Linked DNA regions of Caenorhabditis elegans. The protein of the gene in region 1 purifies or fractionates together with the protein of each later gene. This does not show direct contact. Each region holds a gene or a part of one and is shown on either strand. Other genes may lie near its edges.

The links.
Region 2: the proteins of ZC449.7 (region 1) and B0302.2 fractionate together in Caenorhabditis elegans (co-fractionation; one large-scale study listed by BioGRID). This does not show direct contact.

The regions. Positions count from the first base shown.
Region 1 is NC_003284.9:5,004,600-5,021,200, forward strand, and holds ZC449.7 (SCP domain-containing protein), read left to right. Parts: upstream 1-9,474; 5' UTR 9,475-9,520; coding exon 9,521-9,550; intron 9,551-9,599; coding exon 9,600-9,728; intron 9,729-9,817; coding exon 9,818-9,969; intron 9,970-10,368; coding exon 10,369-10,627; 3' UTR 10,628-10,961; downstream 10,962-16,601. Other genes in the region: hsd-2 (3-beta hydroxysteroid dehydrogenase/isomerase domain-containing protein), read left to right, coding at 685-846, 889-984, 1,028-1,201, 1,246-1,386, 1,435-1,581, 1,948-2,223, 2,268-2,396; hsd-3 (3-beta hydroxysteroid dehydrogenase/isomerase domain-containing protein), read left to right, coding at 4,905-5,081, 5,127-5,222, 5,274-5,453, 5,499-5,639, 6,138-6,623; ZC449.8 (uncharacterized protein), read left to right, coding at 11,532-11,543, 11,614-11,659, 11,708-11,820, 12,916-12,957; sek-3 (mitogen-activated protein kinase kinase), read left to right, coding at 13,419-13,441, 13,796-13,855, 13,998-14,061, 14,117-14,220, 14,276-14,444, 14,491-14,628, 14,678-14,797, 14,912-14,963 and 3 more.
Region 2 is NC_003284.9:17,171,263-17,186,816, forward strand, and holds B0302.2 (uncharacterized protein), read left to right. Parts: upstream 1-7,276; 5' UTR 7,277-7,583; coding exon 7,584-7,611; intron 7,612-7,656; coding exon 7,657-7,730; downstream 7,731-15,554. Other genes in the region: B0302.4 (uncharacterized protein), read right to left, coding at 5,351-5,395, 5,465-5,515; Tyrosine-protein kinase sid-3, read left to right, coding at 15,126-15,275, 15,321-15,488.

The DNA.
Region 1 (16,601 bases):
TCAAATAGATGTTTGTTGGGAATAGAGCTAGAGGGAGCGGAGTGGTAATGAAGCGAGTGAACTAGGGTAAATGAGACACGGGGAACACGAATAAAGTGGTCTCGAGTGTCTCAGAGTGCCCATAACTGAGAAGTGGAAGGGGTAACCCGCCCCACTTCGCAACACATACTTCCCCGTTTCAGAAAACACGGCTCATTCGACTAATTATGAATAGACGACTTGGACAGTGAAACTCAAAAGAACAAAAGAAGAAGCAATGCCACCCAGAATATCGGCATCCCTCCCTACATACAAATGTGCATAAAGTGAAGCCATACAAAATACGCTTTCCGTTTTCCAACAAAGCAAATGCATGACAACGAGAAGCTCTTTAACGGAAATTAGTATTTCAAATTGCAGCACTATCTTCCGTGCCCACTTTATAAAAAATCCATTCTATTATATTGTTTCCAGTAGTTTCCCTAATTTTTAACAGCTTGTCAAATAAAAAATGAGAAAGAAACGTTTTTTTTCATTGTTCCATTGAAATAAGAACCAAAAAAAACGAAAATAAAAAACGAAAGAATGAACTATCCAAGAGGCGTGCCATGGCCGACTCATTTTGATAAGAAAGCGAAAAAAAAATGAACAAAAATTCCAGTATAAAACGGAGCTACCGAAGAGGAAGCTGATTAAATTTTCGAAATGGGCCACTATGTTATAGTCGGTGGTGGTGGCTTTCTTGGAGCCCATGTTATCTCCGCGCTCCAGAAGATTGGCTGCAAAGAGCGTATTATCGTTGTGGATCCGTGCCCGCAAGAATTCAAAACTATCAAAATTGATAAAAGCAATATTTCTTACATCAAGGTACGTTTTAATAATCTTAGCAATTAATAGCACCTACTTCAGGCTTCCTTTCTTGACGATAAAGTTCTAGAAAACATTTTGAATGGAGCATCTGCAGTTGTTCATTTGGCTGCTGTCGGACACACAGGATTGATCGCGGTAACATATTTTCAATGCTGAATTTCACTAAAAATTTGTTCAGGGCGATAGAAAATCTGTTCATAATTTCAACGTTAACGGCACAAAACAATTGATAAAACAGTGTAAAGCACTTGGCGTGAAGCGATTTTTGTATGCATCCAGTGTTGCCGTATCTTTTATTGGGGAGCCACTAGACAATGTTACTGAAGATGATCCACTTCCTGATCCAAAAAAGGTAATCAACTTGAATTTGTGAATTATCTGTATGTAACTTTTCAGTATTTGGACTTTTATTCTGCGTCAAAGGCTGAAGCGGAAACCTATGTCCTTTCACAATCCACACCAGATTTTAAGACAGTATGCTTAAGATTTAGAGGAATTTATGGACCTGAAGATCCCAATGTAACACTTAAAGTTGCTGTAAGTTCTAGCTAAAATAAGCCACAAATGTTGTATTTTGTTGTTCAGAATCTTATAAAAAATGGCTTGTTCATTGGAATGGTGTCGGCTCATGGAAGAGAGTCTGTATCGTGTGCGAGTAGTGGAGTCAACTGTGCAAAAGCATTCGCCCTCGCTGATCAGATGCTTCAAAATCCGGACGGATTGCATGGAAGGGTAAAATAATAATAGAAATAATTTGGAGTAGCGTCAGTAAGTAAATCGTTAAAAATTACGCATATGGTGCCAAAATAACAAAATATCATATTAATAATTTTCTAATTATGTTTATAAAATTAATATTCACGAATTGTAAGGATTGGAACATACAGTGGTTTTTATTTTTTAAGTGAAAACAACACAGTTATTATCACTTTTTAGACTGTAAAAGTACAGTTTCAAAAATTTGTTTGAAAAGTTTTATTATAGAATTTGGTAATTTTGGCAACATACGAGTGGTTTTATTAACTTCACCACTGGCGTTACTTCAGCAGTGAATTTAAAATGATATATTTAATATTCAAAACGCATTACTTTTCGCAGGCCTACTACATTTTGGACGGAGAAAACGTGGGACAATTCCAATTTTGGACACCATTAGTCCTTGCGCTGGGAAAACAACCACCATCGTTCTATACTCCGTACGACTTTATAAAAGCCGTTGTACCATATTTTCAAAACGTGTGCTACGGAGTATTCAAATTACCGCCACTTCTCACAAAGTTTGAGCTCTCCATTTTAGCAGTTGATAACACGTATAGCATTGAGAGGGCTCGTCGCGAGTTAGGATATGAACCGGAACCCTGTGTCATGACAGATGTAATAAAAACTAATATCATAACCAAGTAAATGATTTTTTACAGGTTGCAAAATACTATCAAGATCTGGAAGAGAATGAAGTAGCTACAGCGACTACAGAATGGAAATCTGCAATTTCCATCCTCATCGTATTCATTTCAATTGCTTTTTTATTTTTGTTCAATTTGAACTGACCATTTATGTTTTAATGAAGTAAAATTTCAAAAAATTTTGAACTAAATTCCTCATAGTTTTCCTGACAACCAAAGTACATAAACTTGATTATGCTTAACTATAAAATTGGTTATCATTGCCAAAAAAACTGAAATTTCTGATTTAACAACAAATCATAATCATGGTTTTTATTATCAGCAAATTGATAAGGTGAAAAAAACGCTAGGGGGTTCCGTTAACAAAATTGAATACAGCTACTGACTGAGAATCGGAAGTTTAGAAAATAATTTTAATACTTCAGATTTTACAAATATTTATAATTTAAATAAAAAAATCTAAATGTTAAAAGTTGAAAATTTTAAAAGCTATGTGAAGCTATGTGAACCACAACCACAAATCTTTTTTTTTCAATTTTTCAAACGAGTTATTTTAGGTTGGTTTAATTTCAAGATTGCATTTTTTATCAAGAGATATGGTCTTTTTCCAACTCACAAATTTTTTTCACCAATATACCTTGTACGACAAGGCACAATATTTATGGCACTGATAACAAACAGTTGACCTACTGAAAAAGTTCACAATTTTTTTTAATGATAACTGGGTTTCTGGAAAATCCTGTAATTTTATGCTAAAAACTTATTTTGTAAAAAATTAAAGTACAGTTACAGTTAATGTGTAATGTGTCTATGAGGGCATTGTGGACTCACAATGCACATATCATAGATCCAGATTTTTTTGGTTATATTAAATAACCAAAAAAAAATGAAGAAAATTCTAAAAAATCAAGAAACTTAGTAAGCTAATTTATATATGTATCTGTAGACTGTAGACAACAACTGTGGACACAAAAACTGGGAAGAACTGGTGCTAATGTATACATCAAATATCAACGATAATTCAATATCAAAACCCACAAACCGAGTATTTTGGGGCAGGAAGAAAAACTGGCTCAATTTCTCATTTTTCAACATTTTTTCCTCGAAACCCTTTGTTCACTTGGATTTCTTGGAACTTTCTTGACTATTCAGAATACAACAAATAAAGTTACGCTAACGGTACGGTAAGTTATCACAATTGTGAACAAATTTCAAAATTCTGATTTTTTAAAACTTTTTTTTCCGTAACAGGTTATCGAAATGTAAAATAAACGGTTTTTTTTCTAACCTTTTTTGTGCACTGCGTCCCAACGGTCGTAAATTCGTACAGCAATAAATCTGTATCACCATTTTAGCATCTGTCAAAAGTGCCACGTTTTCTCAACTTCTCTGATAATATTCTCAACATTGTACTCAAGTTTTAATGGCCTGATCGGTGGCACACAGACGTTTTTATCAAGGAAAACACGACTTTTTAGGAGTTTTTTTTAAAGGGCAATAGATCACAAGATTTTGCGATTGAAGTGGTAATGGAGGGTGAAAGGTCGATTTATGGGGAGAGACGAACGAACTGTCGAAATTTGAATTTTTAAGTCAAAACGTTCAAATTACCGTTTCTAAGCATTGACAGAAAAAGTTGCATTGTTTGGTAAACTTGCATTAAATGATAGAAAATGAAACAGGCTGAATATAACTGTAAAAATGAAAGTTTTCAAAAAATTTTATTATTTGTTTATTTGCAAAACTAAGTAAACTGTATCAATTATGTTTAAACCAGACGCTGACCGCGCCTCCGGCGCATCCAACTGGCTGGAATAAATTTCAAATACCCCTTGAAAATAACATTGAAATTTTGAAATTAATTTGATTTTTTTGAATTGATATTATCCTATATTGGACGGAAGTAAACTCTACTTTATATATAGTAAATGATTCCCGCTTAAATAAATGACTGCATAAATTATCGGTTTTTTCAGATTTTTATTAGATATCATTTAAAATATGTTTTGTCAAAATTTCAAATAATTTTCCCTAAATTATTTAGAAAAAATTTATGTGAAAATATCAATTTTCAGGCCAATGTTAAAGTTTCAGGAAATATCTTACAGAAAATACATTTGGCAAAATTAAAAAATCATTTAAAACCTTTTTTAAATTTTTAAACCAGTTTTATTCGGACACATACCGTTTATTTTTTTAAAATTAAATCAGAATTCTTAAACGACCAGTACCGTAAATTACTATTTTTACTCATAGGAAGTTCTATAATTTATCTTCATGTTCCATGTAGGTATTAAAACAGAAGTGAGTCTGTTGTCGGTAAATTATAAGAACGTCAATCACTGTTAATCTTCTATTGCCACAAGGGAGAATGATAAGAGTTTGCACTTTGTGACCGGGTTTTTGGTATGGGAGGTAACACACGTTTGCGTTCCATTTCTAGGCATTATTATATTTTGTTGAGTAAAACAAGAACATTCTATTTCATTTTTACTTGAGGAACTTGACTTTGATTAACTTTCATTTGGTTTTTAAGCAACTGAAAACCTTGACTAGAATTATTTTTCCTATTAAAACTCTACTGTTGTTAATGACCTTGAAAATACCTTTTTTGTATTGATTTTGGTGTAATCTGCCAAGAAATATCATTCAATGTGTCCGCGAAATCACTACGTTATTACTGGAGGAGGTGGATTCCTTGGTGCTCATCTTATAGCAGCTCTTCAGAAAAATGGGGATCGTACCAAATGCATTGTCGTTGATCCGAATCCTCGATTATCCCATTTTTCAGCTATAGACTTTGATAAAAGTCTTGTGGAATATGAAAAAGTTTGAATTTTATTTCAAATTCTGTCATTAATACTAACAGTTAAGGGCTCATTCCTTGATAGAAAAGTGCTTGAACGCGTTCTACCGAACGCTATTACAGTATTTCATCTATGTGCAATTGGGCACACCGGATGGTTTGGGGTAGAAATCATAGAATTTATAGTTTGAAAATTTAAGATTTTAAGCTTTCAGGCCCAAAAACATCGTGAATATGTGTACGCATTCAATGTAACTGGCACAAAATTTCTGATTGAAAAGTGTAAATTTTTTGGTGTTCCAAGATTTATCTACTCTTCAAGTATTGCTGTAGTGTTTGTGGGAAAACCAATTTACAATTGTGACGAATCGGAACCCTACCCTTTGAAATCGGAAGTATTGATATGTGACATAAGATTTTAATTTCAATCATATTTTCAGTATCTTGATATTTACTCGTCTTCAAAAGCAGAAGCTGAAGCGTTTGTGCGGTCTCAGTCTACTATACAATTTAAAACAACTTGCTTGCGATTTCGAGCAATTTATGGCCCTCAAGATGTGACAGTTGCTGAGAAAGTTGTTGTAAGTAATTTAGATGTGGCGTAAGGATTTTGTTCCTCAATGAGGTGAAAATGCTTGCAAAACTTAATTGTATAGTGAAACAGTTTGATACATTATTTTCAACATTTTTGATAGAAAATCAGTTTTTGGGAATTTATATTGATGTGTAGAAAAACACAGTTATTTTCTAAAAATTACTTTACTTCCTGTGGAGAATTTTAAGAAGTGGCTCAAAAACTACCTCAAAGCCGCAATATATCGAACAATTTGCCAATTAATATTTAAGTCAGGTTATATCAAATTTTCCAAACTTCCAATGAAAATTGAAATTATTTTATAAAATACTAGATACTATTTCTATTATTTCTATGTAACCTTGCAAAAAAAGTTTTGGCACAACGATGAAAAAAGGGATTTGTTGTTAATACACCGAAAAAAAGTAGCACATATCTCTATTGCAGGACACTGAACCGAAATTCGCTTCTCCATCTTTGAAAACTAAAAAATCTAAAATTTCAGCAAATGGTCCGTAAAAACTTGTTTATGGTCAAAATATCTCGCCATGGTCGGGAGTCTGTTTCAAACATGAGCAGTGGCGAAAACTGTGGACTTGCTCTTCATCTGGCAAATCAAGAGCTATCAAAAAAAGAGGGCTCTCATGGAGAAGTTAGTCAAATTTTAAAAGTTTTAAATGTCCATAGATTTCAGGTGTATTTCATAACAGATGGTGAGACAGTCGGCCAGTACTCAGTTTGGTCCCCTTTAATAAAAGCTCTTGGCAAGACACCACCTCATCATTTTGTTTCGTGTCTACTTGTTTCTACATTTGTATCGCTTTCATCGTATCTCTGCTATAAAATTTTTAACTCAAGCCCACCGATGACACGATTCGAACTAGAGGTTTTGATAACAGATAACACATATTCTATTGAAAAGGCTCGAAGAGAATTGGGATATTGTCCGGAGCAAAATCTTTTTGAAAAGGTGAATATTAATTCAATTTAGAAAACAAAACACACATAAAAAAATTCCAGACTGTCGAATACTATCGTCTCAAAGCTAAACCAAAGCTGCACCAATCGGAAAACTCTAAAAATCACATGACAATGGAAGTTGTTTTATTTTTAAGTATTTGTGTCTTTTTGTCACTATTTTTGGTTTTCCAAATTGTATTATGAAAAACTTAGAAACTGTCTATGCATAAAGGGAAGCAGTTTTACCTGATTTTTTTTTTCAAAGCAGGTACATCTTTCAAGGAGCATGTACAGGGTGGCGCACAATTACCCGCACACAAATACTGTAGTGTAACTTTAAAACCAGACGTCAGAAAAACATAAAACTCAACAAAAAGTTTATTCATATCCAAAACAACATAACTTGATTAGTCATGCTCCATGCGACCTCCTTTCTTAGCCATGGCTTCTCGAAGAAGTCCCGGGTAGGCATCGATGACTGTACGCAGATACTCCTCCAACAAATCGCCCCATTCCACGATCAAGATCTTCTTCAGAGCCTCAATACTTAAGTGAGGTTTGGTATGGACCTTTGCCTACAAGAACCCTCAATTGGAATAATCCAATAAGTTGAGGTCCAGCGATGACGGTGCCAGTTATTCTTAAGAATGAACGCGGTAAAATGAGTCTCGCATCAGCTTTGAGTGAGATTGGCGGTGTGCCGTCTTGCTGTTACTCCATTAAAGTGAGATGATGTCCATGGGATCAAACTCTTCTCCAAAATATCAAAACTTACAGGTCCATGTTGATTTTCACTCCTTTATTGACAAAAACAAGGAGATTTGACCTTCGGACTTAGTGGTACCATTCTGCTGAAACAGAACGGATTGAGCTGAAAATTGACGAAATAGTGAAAAACAAGATAATGATCAAGTATTTGTATATCGCATTTGCAATGTTTTGTCCCTGCATACGTGGTGCCGCTGCAAACTTTTGTGCGGGTAATTGTGCGCCACCCTGTATTTAAGCGAATGGGTCTTGCCACGCAAAATTCATTCCAGAATAGTTTTGTTTGTGCCTTTAAATTTACAATAGAAAGCTTCAAATTTAACTTCAACAAAAAAATTGCTTAAAATTGTAGGCCACGGTATAACGTATTCAAAATAAAAATATACAAAAAATACATTAAACTTGAAATTAGAATAAAAAATTGTATTCTAGGTTTTGACTTTCAGTTTCTGTAAACATCCTGCACAATGTTTTTTTTTAATTTAACGATCTAGAACTACAAATAGCTACATTTATATTGTTCCGATCAGACTTAAAGTTTCAGTTTTTCAAAATTGGAAGAACAAAAAACGACATTGGAAAAAATGTTAACGTCAACAAGTGTTGAATAATTTGTCATAAATTGTGATGTTGGCATGGAGAGCAGTATGAAATGAGTTTTTAAGAGTCGCTGCTTCGACATTCCGCCAGAAAATGACTGCGTTTCATCGCCACTCCCGAATAAATGGAAAACTATTCGTCACGGCGCCGTTTTCTATGGGTTTCACTTCATTTTCTTAGCCAAAGTTCATTGTGTCAGTTGACGTCAAATGAAGAGCAAATGGTTATTTTTGGTGTTGAACTATGTTTATTAAAAAATGCTAATATTGTAGATATTTGGCTGTAATTTTCAACTAAATGTCACAAATTCCAAAAAAATGAACTTTCGAATGTTTTTTTAAAATTTCAAATTGATTTCCAGGTTTACAAAACTTCCATGATTTAATATAAGGTGAGAAACAACTACTTTACGGCAAAGTTCAAATAAACGTTCAACGAAAAGTGACATAAAAAGTTTCAGCCGAAATTTTTAAAGATGAAAGCTATTTTCTGCTGTTAAACTTTCGGTAGGTACCTATTTTAAATACATTTTTTGAGATGCATTTTTTGAAAAGTTTGTCTGGAAATTTAAAATTAGCTATGCCGTATTTCATGTAATAGTATTGCACCCCCTTAGCAAAATATTTTTCTACATATATTTCAGTAGTTAAACTTTTTTTGATATAACTATTATATAGAGATCCGAGATAGAATTCGTCAAAGTGGATGTGTCAGTTCGAGAAGTTTGAAACTGCCCACATTCGGAACCCTTAAAGCAAATACAAACGTTATAAGCTTCATAGCTAGATAACCTTACCCAACAACTTGTTCCACGCTTGAAACTAATTCGATAGAAAATGCGCAACAGTTTCGATTCTTCCCTTTTGTGTTCGAATCTCTGCGGGTCATTCATTATCTGTGGCAGTTTTTATCATCTCATCCGAAATGCGTCTCCATTGACAGTGTGTGGTTCACTTATAACAGATTTTCATTTCCTACAGTTTTTGATGTTTCCGTGACTTCCCTGAAAAGTGAACGAGGCTTTAACGACTGCAACGAACGTGTTGGATGGGTGTACGAGGCCGCACACCCATAACAATATTAGATTCAGTAGTTGCCTCGTGGAAAATTATCAGCGTTTTAAAACCAGTTTCCTTGTTTGTCATGAACATCACAACTACTTGTATGTGCCTCAAAGCAATTCGTGGTTTTTTTTCAACTTTTAAAGGCCTGCATTATTGGGACGTTGTGCTCCATTTTGTTATAAAACTGGTCAAATATATTTTCTTGCTGGTAGATGTAAATACAAAGTTTTGCTAAAATTATCATCAATTACCAGACTTCTAGTTCTGACTGGGTTTACCAAAAAAAAAAAATTGACAATTAAAAATGCCAATCGTTATCTTCCAATTCCACAAATTCTGAGTTTTAGAGCAGAATTCTGATAGAACCAAACACATGAACTTTTTTATCAGTCCACCCATCTACCGCACGTATCGATACCACTGTTGACATTTTTGCCATATATTGTCTTCTTTCAGTCTGACCTGCCTATTTCAACTTTTCCCCTATCCCCAAATAATGCAGAGTCTATCGTCTATGTTGTCTCCGGTAAGTTTATTTTTTTGAAAATTAAATTAAATAATTGATATACTTTCAGTTAAACACAAATAATACCGTTTACTCTGATGATGTAAGGCCCAGGAGCCAGGAAACAACCAGCACAAACTTTCAAACACCTTTGACCATTACAATTCCTCCAATTGAGTATGATATTCCAGCATGCCAGGTAAAATCTTTCATTTTTGAAATTAAAATTTTCTTCAAGTTTGAAAAAATATCCCAAATTCTGGCCTGCTCAAAAAATTTTTATTTCAGTTCAACCAACAACCACTTCTAACTTCCAAAAGCCCGGAACTTGATGCACTAGTGAAACTAAACAAAGAAATAGGAAATCAGTACACCTATCAAATGTTTGATGTTGAAAAAGCAAGCAATAGTAACCATCATCTTGGTTTCCAGAATGATCCGTAAGTTCAGTAAAATTAGCTATCGTTTGGCATGGCTGCCCACACAGATTAACTTTCACATGATCTTTTTATAGTTGAAATTTTTTTAGCGCTTGTTATGATATTCGGTCATGTTGGATGAGTGTATTCACATTAAACTTCATTCCCATTATTTGTATACGACCAGGAGCTTTTCGAATTTATTTTAAAAGTTCGTTTTTTTGAGCATTTGGAAATTTGTCAAACTTTGACTGAAATGTTTTAAAACTCTAAAAGTTTAGACTCCAAACGAAACATTTTATAGTTAGCCTGACAATTTTATAAGCAACTGAAAGTAGAAAACATTGTGTCATTTATTTTCCCCAGAAATAAAATATTTCCTTCAAAACTACAGAATTTTTCTTAATTTTCATTTTTCAGCCGAATGGCATATGACAAGATCATCTACACTTCAACCAACAAGCTCGGCTGCAACGATTTCTATTACCAATGTGCATACGGAGAACCTAAAACCGACAGGATGGCCATCCGTCACAAGCTCGACAACGACGACATTGAGCCAGCAGCAAAACGTCATTGTGCCGGCGAATTAGACTACTCAAGATTTGGAAATGAGCGTAGTGTGGTTGTGCAAAATACGAATGCAATTGTGCATCAAGAATTATGGAAGGATAATTGATATGGAACATAACATTTTGAAATTTCTCTGCATTTTCTTTGTTGTATCACCTCGAATCCATTCTTTTTAGAAACCGATTTTCTTCCTCGCCATTCGTTCCATTAGGAACATGATTGTCAGTCTCTTTCGCCATTCCATGAATTCCATAAACGATCTGCTCCCCTTTCCCTCCCATCATAAAAATATCTGCATTAATGCAGTGTGAAAAATTGCCTCTTTTTCTCTCCCCCTCTCACTTCTGCATTTCAATTCAATGTTTGATGTGGGACAGGCATGCAAACGTTGTGCTGTGTTCCAAATTCAATTTTGATTCCAATAAAAGCCCCTTCTTGTATTTTTTTTCTTGTGTTTTTTTTTGCTCCAAAATTCAATCGTCTTTATCATTTCTATTTCTCAGATCTAAAATCCTCAGAGGTCAATTCAAAAATTCAAATTTCAAAACTGAACCTTTAATTTACATGCGCAAAAAGGCACACAACCTATTCTCACTGAAGCGTTTTGTGCCCTCCTTCTCACCCATTTTTATATGCACTCAGCACATGAAACCGCTCCATGAAGGGATAATGCAAGCGACTTTTGGCCCTCGATTTTTTTATAACCACATTAAATATCTTTGTTTTCTTCGATAATACCTTCTTCTTTTTCTTTTTTTTCCCATAATAGCATTCGAATTTTTGGACATAAGATAATATGAACAGATTTTTTTTAGTTTCTAATAAAGTGGAATGGGAGGGGAAGAAAAACTAATTTGGTGCTAGATTTATAATGAGAATTTTCGTTCTTTTTGTGCGCCCAACATTCTGCTCATGGAGCAAAAAAACTTTTCAATTTCCTTATTTTTTATTCAGAAGTGCTCACAAAGTTCGTAACGTTCTCCCTCCCGCCCAAAAGTTCTTATTCCGACATGCCTCATGAGGTGAGTGTTTTTTTTGTTACCGGATCTAAGAGATTGAAGCAAAGACAATTTGTTCAATATTGTTTTTTAGACAAAGAAGAACAGTTTGAAAAGAAACTATCCGGATAGAGATGATGGTTGGTTGCTTTGTTATCTGTGAGAAAGTGTGACAATAAAGATTACAGATCAGCTTCACAAAGAGACCGAGGGAGTTTTGACGAATGTCGTTTCGATTCTCAAAACTCAAGAAAACCAAGATGTGGCACCAAGCTTCACAGACCAGTCGACGGTGGTTAAGGTACACATCTAGAAAATGAACACCAAACACTATGTAAAGAAGGAAACTACCGTATGAGTTTCATGAGCAAAAGTAAAATTTCAAGTAGAAATTTGTTTAAATTCGAAATTAATATAACAAATGCGCAATAATTTAATTTATTTGAAAGTCAATAGAAACATTTCAATAAAATTTAACAAAAAAAGTGATTTCAACTGATATTGGATTTTCATTTCAATGATGATTCTGGATTTTTTTCCAGGAAAAAAATATACCTGATTCAGCATATAAAAAGTTTTGTAACTAGATTTTAAATGGATATTTGAACAATTGAACCTGAAAAGGCAAATGTTAAAAAGCCAAGCCTTCCACTGCTATGGTGCTCACAAAATCGCAGAAAAACTTTATGAGAGTTATACCATATATTAACACGTGCTTACACATATTTGTGCGGTTGCCAACGCATGTTCATACTATTTTCACTAATCACTCTACAAGCTTATATTTTATGTAGAAATTTATAAAAATTTGGAAATATTGTTGCAGAAAAGAGTTTGAAAGTTTTCTGTAATTAAGTGTAAAACCATTGAAAATCGCACCAAAAATGACACTAAATTGTATTGATGGTTCTTGCAACAAAAAACAGGGGGATGCAGTGCTAATAAAGATGCAGTACAAATAGAGATGCAGTTTCAATACATAATATACGATAATTAATTATTTTAAGAATTTTGAAGAAACTTTTAAAAAACCGGTTCAAGTTTTCTAGTAATCCTTTGAACATTTTGAATAACTTTCTTAACAAGTGAGCGTGATCCTACAAACTTAACCAATTATCATATGCTTTATGATTATAATACTAATTTTTGAAAACTCTCACGATTTTATATCAAATAAGAACTGGAAAACTAATTTTAAGACTTTTTTGAGTTGGAGAATGAAAACTTTTATTTTCAATAACTGTAACTGACGAGTAATTTTTACGAACCTACAATTCCAATTCTCTCGTACGTGTTTGCAAAGAAAACCTAAAATTGATTGAATCTGAAAGTTAATGAAGTTTCGGAACTCTTGCAAGTCATACTAATAAAAGAACAATCGTAATTTCAATTTCAGGGGTCCATTCCGCCACCAAATACTCCGTGCACTAAAGACTAGTATCAAAAGTACAAACCACCAGTGTCATTCAATTGCCAAAACAATAAGGAAGAAAAAAAAATGCATTGTCGAGTGTTTCAACACTGTTCCCTGATATAAAATTCAATTGCCTTTCAAAAGTGTTCCATTATTTTACAATTTCATAATAATTGTCCAATTTCTTACTATTTCATATTCACTGCTAAATTATATTTTCATATTTTATTATGCTTTATACAAAAATTTGGTTTTTGCTCTTCTATTTGGTAAAGGGTAGATTTTTTCTTTATTTTTGTTTTTCAGTTACTCTCAATAAAAGAAATAGAGGCGGTCGGTGCGCTCTCCGACGGTTTTCTCTCGAAGCTATTTGTTCTCTCCGCACTTACCAAATTTCTGTAGCATCTCTAGTCATGGCTAGATGAAAAAATTGCCTGAACTTTCCGGTGTACAATATTCAATATTTTAATAATTTTCCTAAAATTATGGATCCGCCAAAAAAACGAAAGTAAGTTTTTTCAACCACACGCCAAATAGATTAAAACTTAAAAATTGTTTATTTCAATTGAACACATTGAGAGTAGTGCTAGTTTTGCCAGAATTACTATTTTTATTGAACGGACCACTCTTTGTTGCACCCTATTTTGCACCCTCTCACCAGCGGAGGGTATCACTGCGCACAGGCAAAAAGAGGAAAGGCGCAATTATCGATTTTCTTCCCTGCACTGTTTCCAAGGACTTTTTGAGCAAATATTCAGCGAAACTTTGGAGTTTTTGAGAGTATTGATAAATTTTATTTTTCTCCAATATTTTATTACACTTGCCACCAGCCTCACTTATCACCATATAATTCATCATTCAGGGCAAGTCCGCAGAATGTCGTCAAGTCGAGTGCATGCAAACAGAGTGGCGTCAGACAGAGGTAACATACCTAGTTTAATGAACACGCCAGTCAATAATGACGAAATTTCCCGCTTTTTCTTCTATACTCCACACATTCTCTCTTTCTGCTTCTCAAAAACTTTTGAAGATTACGAAATATACCACACCTCTTTTTTTTGCAGTACGTCTTCTCGAAAACGGCAGCTACAACAACCGGCTATGCCGGACGCAAACGGGCATACTTATGTAAGATTTCTTTTCGTTTTATTACGAAAAAATATTAATCCATTCATGAATTCAGGCCTTCGCGCCGCCAAGAAATCGACACAATCTGGCAAAGCTAAACTTGAGCGGCATGAGAAATCCAGAGCCAGATTTGACAAATGAAGATAATATGAATAGCTTGTAAGGCATATTGATTGGTACATTTTTCAACTGTATGATAATTGTATTTTTTCAGAGATTATGTGAAGAAATATCTATCAAACACTCTTGTCCTCCCACCAAACGATAGAATTCACGAGTTTGAAAGAGATCACTTGCAAGAGCTGGAACTATTGGGTAATGGCAGTTTTGGAGTGGTTCGAAAGATGCTTCACAGGCCGTCTAACGTAGAAATGGCAGTTAAAGTAAGTTTACAAAAGGAAAATTTAAAGAAAAATCGATAATTTTGAGCAAATCTCCCTTATCAACAACGGCCCGGACGACGCGTTCAATAAATCGATGCAAAGGTTCCGACTGGAAGTTGAAGCAACAAAAGCGGCCAGCAACTGTGATGAGATTGTTCGATACTACGGAATCACCTTCAATGAGGTAAAAACTAATTTTTATTTGGCATAAATTATATTTGTCAATGTTTCAGGGTGTCGCCTGGATGTGCATGGAGCTGATGGACTTGTCGCTCGATAAATTGTACATGATTGCACATGATATTCAGAAGGTTGAGATTCCAGAACAGATCCTCGGAGCAGTGGCAGTTGCGGTAGATATTTTTGAACAATTAAAACCCGCCTGCAAAACCAAATTCCTTGATAAAGTAAAACATCCGCTGCGTTAACAAAACTACACCAAAACGTATTCAATTTGTATATTTCAGACCATTCGAGCACTGGAGCATCTGAAAACCACACACCACATCATACATCGAGGTAAGTTCCCATTCCAATTTCGCTTTTTTTCCAAAATTGTTTTTATCACTTTTCAGACATCAAGCCATCGAATATTCTGCTGGACAGACATGGCTGTGTCAAGTTGTGCGATTTCGGTATCTGCGGCTATCTTCAAAACTCAGTTGCTCAGTCTGTTGATGTCGGCTGCCGTCCGTACATGGCTGTAAGTTTTGAAATATTCAAATCATGAAGATTTCGCAATTTAAGCGGGGTTTTATTTGCATGCGTCTCCGTGGAAACAACACCCTAACAAAGGTCGGAGTTCACATTTCAACATAATTGAGATCTCGTGAATTTTCGAAACTATCAAAAAAGACAGGAAGCCTAAAACTAAAGAAATTTCGTTGTTTTTTCTTTTAAGCTATGAATTTTGTTTAAAAATTGTGACTCTTAACTGACAGAACTCGTTGTGTAATAAATAATTTATTCATATTTACAAACGAAACCGAAATTTGACCTATCAAAAAAAAATAGCGTGCTGCGCTTCACTACTATGCGTTATTAAATAGCTGCGCGTTTTTGTATGAAGTGTTTTCTTTTGAAAAAATCTTCAGTTTTGGAAAACGACATATGTACGTTGTTTTTAAAAGAAATTAAAAATAAAAGGACCTATTGTCAAAGCTTATTACCGATTCCATTTCAGCCTGAGCGTCTTGCACCCAATGGCGATGGATACGACATAAAATCTGAAGTATGGAGTTTGGGGATCACTATGGTCGAAGTGGCCAATGGCAAATACCCATATGATGGTTTCATGGATGCTCCAATACTCGATCAAGTTCGAATGGTTGTTTATGGAGACCCTCCAATTTTGGATTCAGATCACGAAGTTTCGATGTCGATGAAACGGTTTATTGCGTTGTGGTAAGTGGTTTTTTTTAAATTTTGCATTGTTCCCACATCAGCATATTTTCCAGCACTATAAAAGATCGCAACCTTCGAGCAAGCTTTGACGATCTGAAGAAAACAAACATCTACAGAGACTACATCCAAGAAGAGCATCGTGTTACTGTTGGCCAATTTGTATTAAAAATGTATCAACACCGTCTTCGTCTTCCGTTTGCTATCTTTTAACTTTTGGATGGATCATCCATTTTGTATTATTAGTATTATTTGTTCAATACCTTTTTCCCCATTTCCACTGTTCACTACGGAATCATTCATATCATTTTCCTCGTCCGTCTCAACTTTCCACTACTTGTTGCCTTTTTTCTTTCTAAACTACCGAAACAAATTCCCATGCACCTCATCATGTTCTACAATTTTTTAAAGTAAATTCAATGTATTTGTGATAACATCCATGCATATTCTAGTCATTCACAACCAATCAATTTGTGATTATTTTTCTCAATAAGATGTTTCTATTTCACTCTCTAATCAGCACCGAAGCTCATTTTCTACATTACACACACGAGAGTGATTCATTTATTTGTCTTTTGTTTCTATCATCTCGTTTTGATGTCACTCTTGTCATGTTTTCGAGTGAAAATGAACACTGTAAAAAGAAATTGATCATCAAAGTGAATTTCTAAAATGCCAAACATTCGATTGTTATTATTAATATTAAGACAACAACAACCATCCATGGATTTGCGAGAATGGAGGTCAAGATATCTG
Region 2 (15,554 bases), about 12 Mb from region 1:
TTTGGTTGTACCTCGGAATCATGAAACACTTGTGGCTATTGAGTGAATGAAAGAACAGGGAAAACGGACGAGATTGAACTTTTTCCCTTTTAAGTAAAGTGTAATATTGTATGTATCTTAGAAGTAAAAGTTATAGTGTAAATTGAGAATAAAAAGTATTTGTAAACCGTGGTTTATAATAAAACCAAAAATTTAAGGAACAGTGTTGTAAAAAAAAGATTTCCCCGTTAACTTGTAGGCAAATTGTAGATTTTAACGGATGATTAACGGTTTTGATATTTTTATATTGCACTCAAAATGCCTTCTATTGAACAAATTTCGTAATTAAAATTTTCAAATCAATTTTGAAAATTTTTTCAAAACATGTTTTGAAAAAATTCGCTTTTTTGAAATTCCAAAAAATCAATTGAAATGCATGTCTACATGAAAACTTGGCACATAGGTTCTGGAAAATACTTCAATTGTTTTCTACTATAACTTTTGTTTTATTTTCTGTTTTAAAAATACTTCCGAAAACACTTTAGAAAATGCTCTTTTTTATGTTCGAAAGTACAAAGTAAAATTTAGAATAAAGGAAGTAGAACATTTAGTTTTTTTTTTCTAAAAATGTTTTATAGCAAATAATAAAGTGTATTTGTTTTATTGGTTAGCCATTAAAAGTTTATGTTTTCCAAGCAAAGCTAATTTAAAATTTCAAGAACAAAGTTGCAGTATAAGCAGACGAAACACGTTTTTACTGTAAAGCTGTTGACGAGGAACTATTTATTTTGATTTGTTTTGAAACAATAACGTAACGACAGTGGCAGGAAATTAACATACTTTGTATCGTATTTATGAATATGTATTAGCATTTTGAATAACAGCTGAAATTACAAAAATCGCAACATTGAGATTCACAATTTGGGTAGAGAGGAATATAGCGAGGTAAGTTTGGAAGCGAATTGCAAAAAAAATTGAAAAAAATGAATCAGAAAAAGTTTCAAAACTTTGTGGTTCAGGAAACAATTGAAATAAGCAGAAAATAAGTAGTTTAGGAAACAACTCAATTTTGTTTGTATAGTAAATTTATTGGGTAAAGATTCAAAATTGCATTTTAAAAAAAAGTACACTAATATCGTTCTAAATTTTTTTTTATTAGTTGTACCTAACAATAGGTTCACTTTGTTCAATTAATTTTATATTTCTCATTGAGCCCACAGCTATCTTTTGGTTTAAGGCATTATTCATTTAAAACCTTTAATTAAAAATTATAAAAACAATCCGTAAGATATCTAACAGGATGGTTTCTTCATTGCAATTACAGAACAACTACTTTTTTGGAATACAGGAATAAGTACACACTTTTGTTTGTAGTATGTGGTCAACGTGCATGTCGCGACATCCACCTTCATGATTTTAAAATTGTCATCGTTTTGCAAAAAGTCAAGAAGATTTGAAGGATTCAAGTACTACTGAATATGTATGATTCACTTCAACTTTGAAACTGATCTAAATGTTTCGATCAAATGACAATTTTTGAATCAAAACTTAAAAAACTGGGAATCAGAATCAGGCAATTTTCAAACGGTTTAATACATGCCTGTGTCAGATTGCGCCTACTTATGATTGGTTATAGGCCTGCCCTGCGCCTGCGTGTATACATGTCTGCATATAAGCCAGACAATATACCTAATTGCCTATCCCCTCTGCCTGCCTGTATGCCTGTACTCATGTGCTAGTTCTTTCAATTTAGCCTACGCTTCCAAAATGCCGTGTCAACATAATGACTAAATTTCTAAGTGCCTACTTATTTCTCTAACGCCTGCCTGACCGTGCGCCTGTTCAGTGTATATGCCTGCCTGAAAAACCTGTATGCAAACCTTTTTAAAATATGTCTACTGCCGTCCTCTCTAGGTGCCTGCCAAGTACCTGCCTGTTACCTTTCTGCCTATGTATGTGCCTGTCTAATACATGCATATTTTTGTGCCTACCTACGGACAGTCTGCTCGATGCTTTCTTTAAAAAACTAAAAAAGAAACAACCTCTTCAGATTTGAAAGCGGATCTCAAAACTAATTCAAAAATTGCACATAATATTTTTCGACAAAAAACTAATTCAATAAACTTGTAAAAAAATACAGAACCCTATTAACCTACGAAGACCAACTATGGTTCACATTTTCTCAAACATACTGAGCACATACGTACACAGAGACTCAAGGAAATTGGATAGCGTCGCGTTCACACTCTCCAATAGAACAGTACTGTATAACTTTTCAAAAATGAAAAGAGAAACTGGCGAAAAAAATTGCAAAACGTCTCACAATGTTTGACCAACACGTTGCCGGGATATGTATGGTCTTCGGTTCAAATTTGATTTCTGTTTCTGTTTCGTCTGACCTTTTGATACGCTCAAGTACATCATTTCAAGTTTCCTTCATTTTTTTATATTGCAAAGATGTATGCGAGAAATATAAAAGACGCGGAACTTAACAAGACCTAATAGACATAATTTTCGGTAACAATTTTGAACTACGTTGTTGGAGAAAAGTGTCTAGGGCAGACGAACAGTTGCAAAGAAAGGGGGAGGAAAATCCTCGAGTTGTATTGTATTTCTCAGCTTTTGTCGATCCAATGTTCCGCTAAAAAGTACCCAGGTGTTTACCGACAGACATCTCACAGCTTTTTACCACTTTTCTACCATGTCACCACCAGCGGCTCGTATTTGCACGAAGTCCCCATGTAGATAATAATGTGATTGTTTGGTTGATCGCTTAGAAGATGTTTGAAATTTAGCGTGAGAAAAAGAAACGAAACGGAAACAAGATCAGATTTTTTTTTACTCCGTTAAAGAAAGAATGAGCAAAAGATGAAAACACAGAACACATGAAGTTAGGAAATTTGTGGGATTTAAAAAAATGAATGTTTTTTCTGTATACTGAATTAATTGATCTCAACCCAACTCGGCTAATTTTGAATTGAAGACTGACAATTTTTGCGTAGAAGTTTCAAAACTTTAAAAAATTTCAGAATCTCGAACAAGTCTGCCACATTGATGTAGCCAGGTACAACCTACTGCTACAGTAGTCTTGGTAATGCTTCAAAAAGTAATGCCCTCGATCGATGTCGGTTGCATATTTAGCAGAATATCATTAAAAGTATCGTCAGTGGAGACTCAATTTATTTGTAAATACACTAATATTGGGTTAAAAAAGAGTAAGTTTCATAATAAAACACTATAAGCATTTTCATTTCTTTAAAAATGTTCACTCAGTTTAGGAAATTTACCAAATTAGCGAATTTGGCAGGTGAACATTTCAGAAATATCAATAAAATATGCATATTTGGGGTTGTGGAATAATTTATAAAACTTCATAAAAATGAGCAAACGTTTTATATTCGACAATTCTAACTTTATGACTTCAAGAAGACTTGAGGCTAAATTGAAAGTGTGTTTTTTTAGAAGAGTGTCATCAAAACTCAAGAAATTAATTTTTTTTATTTCAAACCGAAAAAATTTCATTGGAAGCAATTGAAACAAGTGAACTTGGACAAGCTTGCAAAAGTATCCGGTGACTGAAAATATGATGCTGTGACGAGGCACGGGGTAGAATGAAAACGAAAACACTGGAAAAATCCAAGAAGAGGGTGGATGGAAAAGTTTGCGGTAGACGATGGTTTTTGGAGCTCTGTTTGAAATATGAGAAAAGTGGAGGGAGAGTTTAAGGGGATCCCCCGCGTGCTACACAGTATGGCAGAATTAGGGAACTACGGACTTTTGAACATTTTTTTTCTTTCAGCCTTTATCACAATTCATCACGAAAGATGACAAATCGGAATTTTCAGAGTTATAATACAAATGTAAAATATTGAATAGCCAGATAAGAAAGGCAAGAAAACAACAAAAAGCTTTATGACGACAAAAACATCAATGCCCAAAGACTTTCAGAGAGTGTTCCTTATGAGTCAAGTCATTTTTAATTAGTGTCAAAAAGTCTGCTGTATTTCAGTCAAATGATGCGGCACTCGGAATGGTTGAAACACATGTCGAAAATTGAGAAGATGACGGATATGTAACTTAATAGTGACCTAGAGAAATGAAATGTGCTTGCAAGGTGTCTAGGAAAAATTGTGCAAAAGTTTAGAGTATTTTACAAGTGGTCATGTCGTCATTAGTTCAGTATGTATAAAAAACCATAAAATTAGAGTTCCTTGTAAGACTCAAGAAATAAGAAATTTGACGGATACTTAATCAAGAAACTCATCCATTACCTTGATTTCAAGCATAGTCTTAAAGTAGTGGAAGTTCTATACTATCAGAACAATATAAGAATTTTCAAACATGAATACAAAATATATTGGAACAATCGTAGAACCACAATTTGAGAAAAAATTCAAAATGTTAGCGTACCGACAATGGGCAAACTTTCATGAACTCGACGTGAACTTAATCAAACAAGTGTACGATCTTAAGTGGCCGGCAGTCTGTGATGGTTACCGACAAGTGATGGATCATTGGTATCCTGAGTCAAAAGAAGAAGATTTGTCACTTTTGTAGTGATAACGTTCTGTTTTTTTGTTCAGTTTTTGAGCAATAAAGTTTTAGGGTTATTTACGAATATTGATTTTGTTTTTAGTTTCTCAGTTTTAATTTTTACACCGATATTTTTGGCATGCTAATCAAAAAAGTTAATATTAAAATCCAAAAACCGCGGAAAACCCACCAGCAGGCTCAACTTCTAATTTACTAGCAAAAACAAGCTAAGCCCCTGGTGTTTTTCAGAGCTTGAATAGATGTGCGTTCATAGAAATGTTGAAAATAGCTGAAATTGATGAATGGGTTTGAGAAAGGAGATGTGAACAAAGTTCCGTTTAGTAGTTTTCATGAAAAATATCACGAAAGCAAAAAAAGTGACGTGTAATTATCCTGACACATGATGCAACATTCTAAAGAATATATTCAATTTGTAGTGCTTTACGTGATAAATATTATTATGAAGCGCGCCGGAATTTTGAAACATTTTCATTTCTTACTACCCACAACAGTAAAAATTCTGTCATCACCGAAGACACAGTTTCAAGCAAAAACCTGGGAAAAATGTGAACATTTTTTAACCAACATTAAAAGGTCTGTTGTCACCGGACAGAAATTTGTACTAAAATGTACTTTCCGATTTTTGTTTAAAAACATTTAATTGTACTAAAATTACATAAAACTTACTCACTAAAAGTTAATCTATTTGTCGCCTAGTTGGCGCGGATCACAGGTTTCCTGATTTTTTCCGTCCTTAACTTGACTGGAGCATGACAACTTCTCCTGATACGTTGTGTGTGCTGATTTTCTGCGCATTGGCGGGCGCCCTTGTCGTTGTTTACAGCAAAATAGTCTGCCATCGATTTTTCTTGCTCCAGTAGAACTGAAATTTTAATATAGTTAGTATATATTTTGAAATAATTACACTCGAGTAAGCAGCCATGAAACGTACCCAATGGTCTAGACCCGGACGAGTAGCCTTGAAAAAAGATCCATGATTCATTCTGGTTTGAAGAACTGTTTTTTCTCAAAATCCTCGTCGTCCTTCCAACCAAATAAAGTTGTGATAGAAAGTTTGGAAACGTTGTTAGAGTAATCAAACTTATTCATTTTGATCTGACGAATTCAAATTTAACGGTCATGGTTTTATGAGCTGTCCCTGAAAAAATAAAAAATAATCAATTAGGAAAAAATAATTCTTAGAAATATGAAGTAAGGAAAATTTTAGTACATTGAAAGAATAAAACCTATAAAACAAAAAAAAACGGGCACTACTAAGTATTTTAAAATTGAGTAATAAAATGAACTTGCACGCTAGAGTCTCTTTCATTCCTGTTTGGCAGTCCTTGTGGTATACGAAAAATTTGTGGAAAGACCAATATCGTTTCGATTCACTAACGCTTGCAAAACTGCAAGGCACAAACACAAATACATAATAGCAAAACAGTGGGAATAAACGCGCTATAGCGTTGAGGCGATGATGAGCAAAGAGCGGATAGTAACGCAGCCGCAGAGTGTCCCAGTTAAAGAGTCGCCGGCATATACATTATGACTGGGACTGCATTAAAACTGTATGTGACGTAATGCAGCCGCAGAGTGTCCTAGTTGAAGAGTCGCCGACATATACATTCTGACTGTGCCTGCATTAGAAGTGTATGTGACGTAATTGCAGCCGCAGAGTGTCCCAGCTGAGAGTGTATCCTAATATAATAATGTAACCTCTTTTCTCATAATCGATTTAACACTAAAACAAATTTATTCCCACTGTATATTATTATTTATTTTTGATGTGTCTTGTAGTTTTGCGAAAGTGAATCAAAAAGCTTTTGGTATTTCCTCAATTTTTTTGTATAACAAAGAAAAACAAACTGGATTGAAGTTTATATTATTACTCAGTTTTAAAATTGCAGTGTCCGTTTGTTCAGTTGGGTTGTTTTATTGGTTTTAATCTTTCAATGTATTAGCTTTTTCCTTCTAGTTAAGAATTATTGTTTTCTTAATCTTCGTTGTCTATATTGTTAATCTTCTTTTTTTTAGGGACAGCTCATAGAAGCGTGACCGTTAAATTCGAACTCGTCAGATCGAAATCAGTGAGTTTGAGTACTCCAACTATCGATGTTTGCAAATTTTCTACTACAGCTTGATTTGATTTGAAGGAAAACTTCAAGATCGAGAATTTTTGAGAGGATTATTTTTTTCAAACCAGAATGTAGCATGGCCCTTTATTCGGGTTTAGATCATCAGGCAAGTTTCACATCTTATTTGGGGTATACTTTTTAAAATAAAAATTTTCATAATACCAGATAAATTTCAATAAATCTTACCTAAAAAGAAATTCAGCTTAATTAAATTCACATTTTACAGGGATTGACTTCTAACACAGATGACCTCCTTTTACCTGCTTAAAAAACAGCGCGTTCCCGGAGAAATTGGCGACACACACACAATATCAAGGACTCAAGAAATCCTAAAAGTCCCGCTTGAGTTTGAGTTGAGATACAAATCTAGAGCTGCCAGTGGAGATATGAACGCATGAGATATATTTGGAATCCACAAACCACTGTTTGAAGCGAGCCCTGAAGCGTTTGGAAGCGATACATTTGAAGATTTCCATGATAAGCAGACAAGTAGAATTTCATTTTTAAAGTAATATGTATAAGGTACCATGTGTAACTTTTGAATTTATTGAATATTTTATTTGTGTACCAGGAAATTGGTTTTTAACTCATTACCATCAATGCAGTTCTCAAACGTACAAAACCTAGGCATATTCAAAGCACATTATTCCGACTGTATTTTTGGTCCCACTTCATTCGCCCTACCTGCTACAGCTACTAGTTAGTGCTGAAAAAAGAAAATTTGTTTTTTTTTCAGATTCTCAAATTGTTCTATCCGAAAAAATGTTCGACACTTGCGGCAGTTCAATTCCTGGAAAAAATATTTGATTTTGAGAGAAGTGTAGATTTGTGAAAACGTTACCCGATGGAACTGGAACGAATTAAATTAACCGAAATAATAAGAATACGTATCCAGAGAAATGTACGTATCGTCAAAATTGGAACGATTCTCCAATGCAACCTGGTACGGGATTATCCTTCGGTAAGTTATCAATATATTGGTACATGTTCCAATTGTTGTTTTCAGATATTTCACAAATTTTGAAGCAAGGATCTGATCCAAAGCAGAAGTTGCCGGAACGACAAGCCATTGTATTATAGATGTTTCGGAATTATATGATTTTGAGCTCACATTCCTTTTTGAGTGTTTCTTCAAACCAGAATAAAGCATGTGAGTGAATTTCCAATTAAATCAGTCTAAACTAGATTGTCGGGTACGTTCCCTGGCTGCTTGCCCAGATTTAGACCATCGGCCGAGCTTTATTGATACTTTGTCGGGTTTAGATCATCGGCCGAGCTTCATTGATACTTTGTCAGGTTTAGACCATCGGCCGAGCTTTATTGATACTTTGTCGGATTTAGACCATCGGCCGAGCTTCATTGATACTTTGTCGGGTTTAGATCATCGGTCGAGCTTCATTGATACTTTGTCGGGTTTAGACCATCGGCCGAGCTTCATTGATACTTTGTCGGATTCAGACCATTGGCCGAGCTTCATTGGTACTTTGTCGGGTTTAGATCATCGGCCGAGCTTCATTGATACTTTGTCGGGTTTAAACCATCGGCCGAGCTTCATTGATACTTTGCCGGGTTTAGACCATCGGCCGAGCTTCATTGATACTTTGTCGGGTTTAGACCATCGGCCGAGCTTCATTGATACTTTGTCGGGTTTAGACCATCGGCCGAGCTTCATTGATACTTTGTCGGGTTTAGATCATCGCTCGAGCTTCATTGATACTTTGTCGGATTTAGACCATTGGCCGAGCTTCATTGATACTTTGTCGGGTTTAGACCATCGGCCGAGCTTCATTGATACTTTGTCGGGTTTAGACCATCGGCCGAGCTTCATTGATACTTTGTCGGGTTTAGACCATCGGCCGAGCTTCATTGATACTTTGTCGGGTTTAGATCATCGCTCGAGCTTCATTGATACTTTGTCGGATTTAGACCATTGGCCGAGCTTCATTGATACTTTGTCGGGTTTAGACCATCGGCCGAGCTTCATTGATACTTTGTCGGGTTTAGACCATCGGCCGAGCTTCATTGATACTTTGTCGGGTTTAGACCATCGGCCGAGCTTCATTGATACTTTGTTGGGTTTAGACCATCGGCCGAGCTTCATTGATGTGCAAGCCATCTGGTACGTTGCAAAATGTTCTAATTATATTAAAATTTCAATTCTACTGGAGCAAGAAAAAATCGATGGAAGACTATTTGGCTGAAAGGAGCAACAAGCACCTTCAGCAATAAGCAGGAAATAAGCACACACAACGTATCAGACGTTTTTACAACCAAGTTAGGAACAAAAAAATCGGGGAACCTGTGATCTGCGCCAACTAGACGACAGATATATTCACTTAGTAGGTAAGATTTTTTTTTGAGTTTTGAAAAAAAAAAATATTGCAAAACACCTTGAAAATGAAGAGACAAGGGCATTGTTCCACGCCCTGTAGCGTAAAGAAAGATTTTCATAGCATAAATTTTTTTGTTGATTGCACAACCAAAAAGGATGTATTGTTGTGTAGTGCAACATACGATGCTTCTAAAATCGTTTCGAATAGAGAAAGTTTGAATGTTTTTGATAAGAAGTAATGTACTTGTAGTTCTCATTGTGATTACAGAGAAAACTATAGTATAATTTTGTTTCTAGTTCGAAGTTTGGTAGGATTTATGTATCAAGACAAAATTTCAAAAAAAAACAACTGAAGTTTTTCTTCAAAGAACCACGTGGGGGTGGCCAAACGAGACTCCCAATTCCGCTTGACAGTTTGCAGTGTGAATTCAGTTTGAATTGACGTTTTCTAGGTTTTTACTCGGAAAGTTGGATTTTTCTCAAATTGTAAACTTTATGAAAAGATAAATATAATATTATCCAAACAATACACGGTTATTGGTAGTAAAATTTTGATAAACTCCTGCAAAGTTTATGAAATTAGTTCACACATATCGGCTTTCCCATCTGATCTTTAAAAAAAGTCCATTCCGGAGCGATTATTACTCTTTGTATTTTGAATTAAACATCACTGATCAAATTTAAAAACATATTTCCGTTTTGTTTTCCAGAGTTTTTTTCTTTTCTGTCTTGATGTTCTCATGATTTCTCATTTTCTCCCGTCATATGTCATTTCATCAACACATGTTCCGATCCTCCTTGTGTTTTTTTGAAAATTCTCAAGTTCTGCTTTTGCGTTCCATGACGATGATATCAGCAAAACGTGTTGACAAAATAAAAGATTGTTCTCAACACATTCAAATGTCTAGTGTTCTTCACAAGTTTATTCTATTTCAATTCGGCTTGAAACATTAAGCATTGGAAAAAAATATAAAAAATTATAATTTTTGTTGTAGATTTCTGTGCCCGATTTAAAATTATTATAGTAATCTAAACTGAATATGAGAATCTAAGGAATCAACTGCGGTATTTTTGTAAAGACAAGTACTAAGAAAAACCTTCCTAATAATTGTATCGCCTTCCCTGCGCTTATTTCAATAAGACTACACCTCTGTTCTCTGCGGCACCAACACTCTCTCTCTCTCTCTCTCTTCACTTGTCGCTTATTTGAAAGGGGAAGGGGCAAAGCGTATTCTCAGAAAAGTTTTGATTTTGAAAAAGAAAAAAACAAGTAAATGGGAAATAATAATAATTTAAAACTAAACAAAGAAAGATAATATAATTATGTTTATATCCAGCAAAATAAAATTACCGTTCAAAAAAGATACAGTTGTGACTTTGCGACAAATGTTTTTTTTTTGTATGAATTTCAGTTTGACATCTAAATATCTTTCAGATATAACATTATTTGATAAAGACTTTTGAACATTATGTGAAGAACATAAACGATTTTGATATAATCTCTCCGGTAACAATTTCAAATTGAAACCACATGCACAACGCTCATGGAAACCTCATGGTCCCTTCGTTGCTGAGTCTCTCACTCTCCCACACTCTCTCGCTTTGTGACACCTGTATTGATTATCCCACGACAATCCAGCGAGCCATCGTCCTCGTTCGTTTATTCAAGTGCGCATCCGATTGTTCTCTTCCGTTTTCTTTTTGAATTTTATGTATTATTCCTTTCGCGCTGCTGCTGCTGTTGTTGCTGTGCTTTTTATTCGCTTCTCACTTGACATACATCGTTTGCTTGAGGTTTTATTGTCAGATTATCTCAAGTTGCTGAAGTTTGAATAGAAAATCAAAGAAAAATGCAAGGTCGTGGCGTGCTTTGTTTGAGATTTGGAACATTTTTCTGCATTTTTCATAGGAATTTTCGGTTTAGTTGCAAGAGCAACTGTGCAAACTCTATAATTCAACTGATGTCATCTTTTAAATTATTTTCGAAAATAGTTTTGTTCGAAATTAAATCAATGTTCAGTTTTGACTAAAAGCTTATACCTTTGCACTCTTCCCTCATTTTTTGTTGTTACTGGCGAATAATATTTTCATTTGAATAGGCACTTACCAGTTTGATTTATGAGTTTCACTTTTTTTGAAGCCCTCAAGTCTAGTATGCATTGTTTTTTAACTTGTGTTAAAAAGGTGCTTTGCCGTTTAACCTCTAAAAATTGAGAAATTAATTTTTTCATCTGTAGGAAAGTTTATGAAGTCAAAACAGAGTTCAGTTCAATTAAATTAAAAATTCGAATAATCACCAATTTTAGACATCAAACAGCTAAAAAAAACTTACAAAAAACATACGATCTTCAGTGTGTTGACGTTTTTACAAAATTTAGACATCTCTTTTTTTTCAAATTCACAAACCAGTGAAAATTCTTATAATATTTAGAAGCTTAAGTTTTAATTTGTGTCAATTTTTATTGGAAAAAAAAACTCGTCGCATATGTTTTCTTTGTCAAGCCAAACAGCTGGTTAAACAAAACAAAACAAAAAGTCCGTCTGCTCTTTTCTTCCGCAACTGATAATGTCATGATCGGCATTCTTTTCTAAAGCAAACAAAGAGATTCAAATTTTTTTGCGATTTTTTTTAGTTCGGCTTGGTAGAAAAAACAAAGAAAAGTTTTATAAACACTGAAACTTTTTGCGCATAAAAATCGAATATCGAAATTAGCAAAAAAAAAACACAAGAGAATAGTTTATGAACTGTGTTTTGACACACGAAAAACTTGAAATGTTGAAATTTTTCCAAATTTCGTGTCCTCAAATCTATGTGCCCTATATACATTAGGTAAGGTGAATAAGTTGCTCAGTTGCGCACAGAGATTTTTCCGTTTTAAACATTTTGAAGTTTTTCAAAGTTAAAATAAGCCAAGTTACCAAATGGAATATTGATCCGGTGCTCATTAAAGTCAGATGCAGAATTAAAAATTATGTGTATTTTATAATAGCTGAGCATCATTGCAAAATTCTAAAATCTTCTAACTCTGTTCTCTTGGAGTTCCCAAAAAAAAAATATAAATAAAACTAATTTTTCCTACAAAACCAGATAAAAAAAGTTTTCCGAAAGTAATGGGGTTATTCATGTAATTTTGCAAAATTTATTTTAATACATTAATGACGTCACAACTGTATTAAAATACATGGTTTTATGTAATTTAATACAGTCGTAACGTCATTTTTGTACACTTTTAATTTTCTGACACTACTTGAATAACCCCATAACAGAAATTATACACTGAATAGGGCAGAAAATACTTTTGTAAAAATTTAGATCAATTTTTAAAATTGTTAAAAGAACAAGCATTGCACTAACATTTTTTATCTTTGTATATTAGCTATACCCTAAAATGTTTTTAATTTGAAAAAAAAAACTGAAGCGTAATTTTTTTGTATTTTAGAAAGGAATAGCATAAAAATAATTACTTCTTGCGTGGTTAACATTATGGAATTGCAAAAATTCTAGGGTACAGCTAATTCACATGTACCACATTTTTGAACCACATTTTTTAAAAGTATATCAAAAATCCGGAAATAAATATTGTTGATTCAATCTTAATAGTCAGATTATTTAATATCAAAGCTGGATTTGTCAAGTTTCTAACTGCAGTAGTCATTCTACAATGAGTAAGCAAACTGTCCAAAAACACAAAACATTGTGAATTTCCTTTAGAAATAGAAATTCTGGTCTTTCAATTTCTTCAATTTCATCCATCAATTTCTATAAATTTGCATCAAACTCAAATTTTTTAAACATTTGTTTTTGCAAGAAATGTTTTGATAAACATCCCGTTGTGTTTTCCCCAAACATTTTTCTTGCTCAATCGCATATTTTAGTTCTAAACACTTCACAAACTTGTTTATTACCTTTATTAACACAAGAATTTCGAAACTACGTATTAGACATATAGGTGACAATCATCATTCTTAATGTCAGTGAATCACGTTCCAGTTCATTCTCTTATCTCGCTTTCGCTTCTTCTTCTTTCTCGCCCCGCTTTTTGTAACTGTTGTAAAAAAGTCTCATTGAAAATGAAACGACTTCTTAAGTTTTTCCTTCTTACTTTCAAATTTTCTTATTCGTCCTCCTCTTAAATAAAGAAGAAAAAACCAGATCCAATTGGCTGACTGGATTCTGAGGGTGTCTGCCTATACACACATAGAACACCCTCCACAAAATTACCTCCTTCTCCTCCTCTTCCTCATCTTTCTCTCTCACTCTTTCCCTGTGTGAGTTCTTCTAATTCTCTGCCCCCCGCATCCAGTATGTAGTGTCGAACCGTCTGCGTCTCTCGCACGTGTGCCACACATATTTTACTATTTCGCAACGGTCGAATGTCAACATTCTCCAGTCGGCGGGGTGTCTCTAGTTTCCAATACTACACTAGGCCTGCGTCTGCGCTGAATTTATGCATTACTTACTTCGTCATCATCCTCTTTTCTTTTTCCTCCTCCCGGGATTTTTTTTGTTTTGGTTTTAAAAACTGTATTTTTTTCCGTTTGCGGAAACAATAGAGTTTTATAGTTCCAGTTCCGTTTTGCTTCTCTACATTTTCAATAGTTTGTCAGAAAACATGCCAGGAAAAAATGTGTCAAACTGTTTGCATTTCTTGTTCGCCTACCTACAAAAACTCCGTAGTCTTTTGTAACCTCTTTACTCTTCGAAGAACATGGCAGGCTGTACTTTTGAAACCTGGCACATGCTTTCAAAGACCACTTTCAGAAATAGCTTCACTGTGGTGATTTTAACAAGTTTTTGGGTTTTATGGGCCTAGTTTCCCTTGAAAAGTTATTAAATTTGCTAAAACTTCATTTCATATTTGAATGAATTGACTAAAAAAATAAGCCAGAAAAAACACCAAAAAGTCAAAACAGTTTTCCGAATTTCAAAAACCTTTCACTTGTTGGTTTATATGCTAAAACTTCAAAATATTAACTTTTCTGAAAAATTCTGCGAATTCGGTAAAATCGCATATTAATTTCCAAAAAATCATTAATTTTTTTAAAAATATTCTCGTACGCCCACATTAGGCGAACTTGTTTTCATGACGTCATTTTTTGAAAAGTGATACATTCTGACAATTTGTTTTATGTGTATTATATCAGTAAACGAGTTCGTAGCTTAAAAATTAACTTGTTCACATTTTCTTGATATAGACTATTAAATCTTTTTGTTTTTACATTTAACAAATCGATTTCTCTTCATACAATACACTTTGAATAGTCGTTAGAAGCATTCCTTTTTCTAATTAGAAGTGAGAAAAAAGGCGACGACAAAGAGGAAGCAAAACCAGTCTTTCCTGACAATAATTTTCTTCCTAGCCGATTCTGCACGATTCCTTGCTGTAATTTCAATTTTTATCAAGGGAAAAGATGACCAAAAGTTTAGTGCCTCCACGCCAGGCTCTTATGAATAAAATGCATTTTTCTACGTCACTATATGTGTGCTCACTTAGTCATATAGAGCTTCAAGAACCCATTTCGCATTTGTAGTTCGAAAAAGTTGCTTTACAGGAAAAAGTTCATTTTCTACTTAGCTTCTTCTCCTTGCCATGTGTCTTAAAAGTCTCAATCAATTGCGTTTCACAAGTTTTAATCAGTTGTTATCAGTGTATGTCGTGTTGCCGACAAACACCCCCCCCCCTCCATTTTTCTAATTTTTGGCTATTGGCAGTATGTTTCCCATATATTTTTTGCCTTTCCTTGATTGATTTTTTGTTCTTGAGTTTGCGTTGTTGGTTGTTGGGCGCTCAAATCTTGCGAAAAAAGTTTAGAGGGATCGAAAAATAATTTATTTACTTCCAAAACAATTAGACAGTTTTTTAAATTTCGAATTGAAGAATCCTTCTCAGTTTTATTGTCAGATATTTGAATAATGTACCCTCCAGTTGACAATTTTCAATTCAATACAAAAGTTCCACTTTTTCATTAAGTTTCTGATATTTTTGTAGCATTTTCTTTTATTTCTGAGAGTATATCATTTTTAAGGATTTAACGAAAACTACGGTTTAAAAAACCAGCTCAATTCAGTACATTCAATCTTAAATTTTTCGCCTAAAAGTTTTTCAAAACTCTCAAACACTCTGCCATTTTCAGACGTAGCAATGGCAAGCACGTCAGGGGCGCTTGTCGACGACAACGTCCTCGAAGTGCTCCGCAAAGCACAGTTGGACGCATTTATTAGTCAGTTTGTCTTCTTATTCAACGTCAGAAGGTTTGATCACTTTTCACATGTTCGAGATAAAGATATGCTGGTGAGCTGGCAAACTTAGTTGAAATTTTATAATTTTTTTGTTTAGGAAATTGGTATGCAACAAGTTCAAATTCGGCAGCTCCGAGAGCAGATTCTCAAAATGTCCAGAGAAATGTGGAATCGGAGTGATCCGAAGCAAGTGTACATTCAAGCCGATCAGTCGATGCCAGCACAAAATTCGATTGACGAGAAAGCACTGATTCCAAATGAGCAGGTAGTGATTTCATAGCTCCACACGATTTAAAAAAAAAAAAATTTAGTGTTTTTGGTGCATACTAGA